Nothobranchius furzeri: one gene and its partner. The protein of the gene in region 2 interacts with the protein of the main gene of each other region in a pairwise test. Links are inferred from orthologs where the notes say so. Each region holds a gene or a part of one and is shown on either strand. Other genes may lie near its edges. The genes, in order: grb14 and fgfr1a.

What was found.
Region 1: the proteins of fgfr1a (region 2) and grb14 interact in a two-hybrid assay, tested with the Homo sapiens proteins (2 studies listed by BioGRID, with this or other methods). The link is inferred for Nothobranchius furzeri from reciprocal best matches to the Homo sapiens genes FGFR1 and GRB14.

What each region holds. Positions count from the first base shown.
Region 1 is NC_091754.1:19,777,136-19,780,204, forward strand, and holds the end of grb14 (growth factor receptor-bound protein 14), read right to left. Parts: coding exon 3,028-3,069; intron 2,923-3,027; coding exon 2,853-2,922; intron 2,782-2,852; coding exon 2,694-2,781; intron 2,167-2,693; coding exon 2,073-2,166; intron 1,117-2,072; coding exon 970-1,116; 3' UTR 585-969; downstream 1-584. UniProt on the Homo sapiens protein: Adapter protein which modulates coupling of cell surface receptor kinases with specific signaling pathways. Binds to, and suppresses signals from, the activated insulin receptor (INSR). Potent inhibitor of insulin-stimulated MAPK3 phosphorylation.
Region 2 is NC_091757.1:34,228,772-34,232,600, reverse strand, and holds part of fgfr1a (fibroblast growth factor receptor 1-A), read right to left. Parts: intron 3,602-3,829; coding exon 3,365-3,601; intron 2,989-3,364; coding exon 2,899-2,988; intron 991-2,898; coding exon 818-990; intron 1-817. UniProt on the Homo sapiens protein: Tyrosine-protein kinase that acts as a cell-surface receptor for fibroblast growth factors and plays an essential role in the regulation of embryonic development, cell proliferation, differentiation and migration.

The DNA of each region.
Region 1 (3,069 bases), on a different chromosome or scaffold from region 2:
GCCGTTTAACTGTTTTGCCTTCCTGTGAAGATTGTTGCAAAGAGAAACAATTAAACTTGATTAACCCCAGAGCCACCCAGAGAACCAGAGCGCATGTGGGAAGGTTCCTCCCACTGAAGCGAGTGTTTTCCAAACCCGGTCTCTCAGAGAGACTTGTCACTTAGAAAATGTTCCCTGATTATGAAACTTTGGCTGAATAGCGCTTGTTCCTGTCTCCAATGTGGCGACGCATCCAGGAGCCGTCTGAGGAGAATTCCAGAATCTCACATTGTCTTCAGCTCATAAAGCGCATATGATTACGCACAAGCGTGACGCGTCAACCCGGTCTCACAGTAAGACCGGGTTGGACCTGCTCAGGTTTACGCAGACAATCTTTACATTTAGAATTAGCTTGCAGATGTAAAATTAATGCAGTAAAATATAAAGCATTTTATTTAAATATCCATTCATTATTTTACAAGCACAGATGTCAGATGGATGGAAGAGCCGCATGCGGCTCCAGAGCCGCGGTTGCCGACCCCTGTGCTAGCCTACTTTATTGTCCCCAGCAATTCTGAAAACAAACTGACGCCCTTGGGCTAAACCATGGTTAAACCATTCTTTTATTGTATTGTGAATCATTACCTGTTTACAAAATGCATTCAGCTTTACAGTGACTGCAGGAAGTCAAGTTTAGACATTGTAAAACAGACTTCCTGTCTCGAAGCGACACATCACTAAACCATAAACATGGTTGCATGGTATCTAAAGCACCAGTAGTCGTTTAATACACAGCTTATTTTGAAAATGGTCTTCTAAAAAAACATAATAATAACGTAGTAATAACAAAATAAGGGTGGGTTTTGTACCACATATATAAAAAAAAGTCTTTTCATGAATTTTCTTCAAGGCACAAGCCCACTTGGACTGTTCGTCCAGAAGCCAGAGTTAAGGTGCTTTGGGGTCCTCTGGAGACTCTCGAGTCCCACTTCAGAGGGTGATTTGAGTACAGTGGTGCTTGAGCTTGCAGGGCAGGGTCCCTCGATTTAACTGGTAAAACTCCACCAACTGGATCAAGTCTGTGAACTGAGTGTGGCCATCATCCAAACTGTAGAACACCTGCCCTTCATCATCCACCTGAGGGATATAATCATGAAAGTCATAAACTTTTATCCAATTTACATATGCAACATGACCTAAATGGAATAGGCTGAAGTAAATACTTATTATGGCTAACCCGATTAACATTCTATGAAAAACAGACACAAACTTTTATAATAAACCAAATCTGGTATCGAACAGAGATATTAGCTAATATTTAAGATTGTTTTAAACATAAAAAATCTGTCTCACAATGAACATGTTTAAGTAATTTATTTTCAACTAAATCATGATTTTTAATTCATTACATCTGCTACACGGATCTGTTTCAAACGCTGTTCACTGATTTCTAGCTTTATTCATCCTGAGCTATACATTTCTGAACTTGATTTAATTTAAACATCTTTTTAAATGTTTTTACTGTTTCGGCCTGTTTTAACTGATCTTCCAAGTCATTCCACAGACTAACTACTCTTACAAAAATTCATCAACCTTTTAGTTCTAGCTTTTATTTTTTTAAAGATGCTGGTTCATCTGAAGTTATACTGACTATTCCTGTGTTCCAAAAGCCTCTGGATAACAGGTCTGTCAGGGGATCAGACTTAATCTATCCCGGTTTTTTATTCTACACATCGTATCAGTGACTTCAGACAAATAAAATGATAAAGATTTTTCTTGACCTAGAAGAACAAGACATCAGACAAATGATCTATGAGTCAGAATCACTCGTGTTTTATGAAGAGAATGACGTCACAGGTGAAGCTTAAACACAAGTGTTGAGTGTGGTAAGGTTTTCTGAAGTTGGAAACAAAAAAACTACAAAAATAAAATGATGCATGAATGGCTGGGTGCATTTGTGCAGCTGTGTCCCCAAAGGGTGGCCAGGGGTGCCCAAGGACCTCCATTAACGTTTTCTGAGGGCACCACTGTATTTGTGGCATTTAATTAGTTGAACACAAAGTGTTTTATAATCAAAGATATGCTTTACTCACAGGTAGAATCTGAAAGTGTTTGATTTTCTGCATGTGGCAAAGCGACAGAACAAATGTCTTTGGGTTGCTTTGGCTGTCCCTCAGAAGAAACACTCTGAAACAAGAAAAAAAGGCTTATCACTGCCATTTAATCAATCAATCAAAGCTTTATTTATAAAGCGCCTTCCGCAACCCTGTCAGGAAGCCCAAAGCGCTGACATTTAGCATAAAACCAATGCACAAAATGCCATGATACAGCCATTTTGTATCAATAACAGTTAAAATACCATAACCCTCTCAGGCTCAAAGTAAGTTTTGATAAAAGGATGAGCAACTAAGTCCTTCAGGGGTACTTCTGAGTTAAAAATGCTCATGAAATACGTATGTGGAGTAACCAGGTAGGTAGGTTTTTACCCTCTGGTGTTGCAGATTTGCAACGTTAAAACCTACCTACCTGGTTACGCCACATACGTATTTGATGAGCATTTTGTAACTCAGTAGTACCCCTTAAGAACTTAGTTGCTCGTCCTTTTATCAAAACTTATTTTGAGCCTGAGAGGGTTAACTGTTGCATATCTGCAACGCCTGCCTCCAGAGGGTTAAAAAAGAAAATGTGTGGGGGGAAAAAAGCAGAAAACGTACCCATCAATGGGACCCTGATGGGTTATTAGACGCTGAGCCTCGTCTCGAGACAGTTTACCATGAAACCATGGCTGGGACAAATGGATTGCTGATGCATAAAGATGAAATATTACAACTTTTTTGTCATTTTGTGAATAGTTCAAGAAGAATTTGACAAACCTAAGCTTGACACTGAACTCTGAGTAGCAGAGGGGCTCCCATGACCGCTCAAACGGTGGCAGCTTCTTCTCTAAAAAAAAAGGGGGGGGGGGGGGGGTGGATCCTGTTTTATGTTTTGTGGCAAATTTGAATTAGGAGCACTTTATCTTAACATGCCAGGTAAAAATCTTCCCACCCTCCATGACAGTCCTTCCTCCACAGCCACAGACAGAGCCTC
Region 2 (3,829 bases):
AGGCAGCAGGCTGGATTAGCCTACACCTTGATGAGAGCAACAGACGTGCGTAAGAGAGTAGATTGTTTTTTAGACTCTCTGCATCCCACACCTGTGAGAAAATAATCACTGAATGTAATTTCCTTAAGTTAGAAGCGGGTTAACCTGGTTCCAACACTTTTAATCCCTTAAATCTGTAATCAATAACAAATAAAGTGTAGAATTAAAGTTTATTCCAGTCCCTAAAAATCAAATTAGTTGAATATATACAATTGTAACATTTAGAGCCTTTACACAACAGCATAAAGAAATCCATAAAAGATCCAACCCATCAGGTAAGACTAGAATCGAGGTAATAGTCCTATCCATCTTTATTTCATTTCAACCCTCACAAATTTAAATACAGGCTGCCGGCAAACAGGAAGAAATTTAGACAGAGTAATCACATTACCTTCACGAATACAGGAGGTAAATTTACTACTGCATGGATGTAATTACGGAAAAGATGATCAGTGTCACCCAGGAAGAGGACAGCGAGCTGCTTTGCTTCACCTAAACAGATGGCTAGGACTGCCGACCTAAAGGTATAACTGTAGCACAATATTCCTTCTGATAGCATAGGGTTTCAAACAGCATTGTGTCTCAAGTCAACTGTGAAACTTGTCTCTCCTATACACCCGCAGAAAGTGCTTTACTCCAGGGGAGGAGCTGTGAGCTAATGTGGAGATATCAGACTCTTCATCTTGGTAGTGAAACATCCCAGAATTAAAAATAGAAGGTAAAACAGTTGGAAGTGTCAATAGGAGGAAAAGATGATCAACGCTAATTTCTTATTTACCTTGAAGCCCCCGATGCGATGGTCTCTCTTAAACTCCTTTCCGTTCTTATACCATTTCAGAGTGGGAGTTGGGTTGCCGCTGGCCTGACATCGAAACTTCACTGTCTTACTGGCAGGAACAGCGTGAAGCTTCTTCTCCATTTTTTCTGGATGAGCCCACTGCGGGGCCATTGCTATTCACAAGAGCAAAATACATGCTTTAAATGAAGGGAATTTAAAACATTTAGAATTTTTAACTAAAGAATTATCTGGTTAAAAAGAAACAAAAAGTGGTCTTAGGAAAACAAAAATTTCTTGCAGACTGCCCACAACCTTAGTGGTGGGAATTAAAACCCTGATTGTTTCAGATTTCCACTCATCTGAACAAATCACCTTAAATTTAATTAAGGACACTCTCTGCCTGTAAAATATTTGTAAGAATTATTTGGGCCATTTAAAGCTAAAAATTTACATTTATTTTCTTTTTTTTTGTCATTTTTGGAAAAGCAGTGACTGATTTGAAAGGGACATTAGATACAGAGTATGCAGTGGGTACAGAAAGTATTCAGGCTTGTCAATTTTTCAAACTTAAATTGCCGCCATTTGCTAAATCAATTAAATTCATTTTTGTCATTAATGTCCACGCAGCAACCCATGTTGACAGAAAAACACTGAATGTTAGAAATTTATGCAGATTTATTAAAAAAGACAAACTGAAGTATCACATGGTCCTTAGTATTCAGACCCTTTGCTCAGTATTTGGCAGAAGCACCCTTATGAGCTAATGCAGCAATGATCTTAGTAAAGATGCAACAGGTTTCTTACACCTGGATTTGGGGATCCTCTCCACTTCTGTCAGGTTGGATGGCGAACGTTGGTGGACAGCCATTTTTAGGTCTCTCTAGAGATGCTCAATTGAGTTTTAGTCGGGGCAAGTGATGAGCAGTGCCTGGTTTTCTCCACACACCACCACTTATAAGTAAGGGCAAAAGTTCTATCTTGGTCTCCTCAGACCAGAGAATCTTATTTCTCATCATCTCAGGGCCCTTCAGGTGTCTTTTAGCAAGTGCTTCCATTTAAGGATTATGGAGGCCACTGTGCTCTTAGGAACTTTAGGTGCAGCAGAGATATTTTGTAACCTTGGCCAGATCTGGGCCTTGCCACAATTCTGTCTCTGCGCTCTTCAGGCATTGTGAGCTGTAAGGTCTTGTATAGACAGGTGTGTGTCTTTCCTAATCAAGTCCAATCAGGGTAATGAACACAGGTGGATTCCAATGAAGGTGTACCATCTCAAGGATGATCAGAAGAAATGGAAAGCACCCGAGGTAAATATACGAGTGTCACTGCAAAAGGTCTGAATACTTAGGACCATGTGATATCAGTTTTTCTTGTTTAATAACTCTGCAGAAATTTCTGTCAATATGGGGTGCTGTGTGTACATTAATAATGAAAAAAATTATTTAATTGATTTTAGCAAGTGAATGCAATATAACAAAGTGAATGTTGACAGGGGCCTGAATACTTTCTGTACCCACTGTATCAGATAAAACCAAAATGCCAAGTATAAACTAGACCACAACCGAATGCATTCAAAATCACAGTCATCACAAAAACATTTCAAGTTTAAAAGCTTGGCAGTTCTTTTTAATTAAAAACAAACACTTTAATTAAAAACTCCAGCTTCAAAAAAGTCATTTGTGGAGTGTAAATTTCATTGAGAGATAAGTCGGGCAACAAACTCAAGGTCGACATGCTTTTCATGCTTGGCAGCTACTGGATTCTTTGTGGGCTGAGCGGGAAGTAGCAAGAAGATGAGAAAGCCAAACTGTTTTAATTACACTATAGACAAGTTGGGGCTCATCCAAGGTTAACCACGATTAATCACCACAGGAACATTAATCATGTAAGAGCCGTCACAGAGGCAGTGGAGAAGGTCTGAATCTGAGTGAAATAATTAGCCCGGTTGTGACCCACACACACGGCACGCCTATAATCGAATTATAAAGCTCTGAAATCACTGGCTGTTCCCAACAATTACTCACAATCCTTCTTGGGTGAGTCAATAATCAGCAATGGTAGTATATGGAGATCTGACCACTTACGCATCAGCTTCTGACTGGCCAACTGCTTGTTTTCTTCTGATGAAGACTCCTCTTCATCGTCATCATCCTCAGATGATGCCAATATATCAACTAGTGGGCAGAAAAGCATTTTGGGAACTCAACTTTATGTACATTCAGGTTCACCAGTGATGCAACATTAAAGGACAAGAGGTCTTGAAGTTATAACAAAAAAAAAAAGAAAAAAAAAGACAACACTAAAAATTCACTTCATTTGTCAGATTTGTGAAAATAAACCTATTTTGAATCTTGCAAAAAGAATCATTCCTACCTTGGAAGTTATTTGCAACATAAGACGAGTAAATGAGTATTTATGACCTGCTTATTAAAATGCAGCCTAACTACTAAAATAAACAGGAAATATTCAATCGTGCATCTCTAACAAAATCAGAAGCACAGCAAGCAAGAATTACACATGAAAACATTTTACAGTTTTGTGTTTTTGTACCTGACACATTAAAGAACACACTGTGGTTGCCAAAGGTGGTGCATCCATACAAGCCAGAGTCTGTCAGCTCCACGGCCTCGATCTCCAGCTGACCGTTGTGGATGTGGGCGTGTTCTCCATCCACAAGAGCAGCATGGTCTTTGGTCCAGTTCACAGTATGGATGGAGTCTTTGGGAGAGCAGCTCAGATACAGGCGATTCCCAAGAAACAGGGTGAACAGCTCTGCTTCCACAGGGACTACAAAGGAAGCAAGTTACTGGTTACTGACTTCCTTACAGCCCACACCACTTAACCTTGATGATGGTTTTAACCACCAGCACAAAAGCCATGAAAGCACACCAGCATTACACTAGAAGCTCCATTACTTCTTTAAAACATAATGATTTGGTTCTTTGACTGCTGCTATTGGATCAGCACCTTTTTAATCATATTAACTGAATGCTGAGGCACAGCTGAGGTGCGATA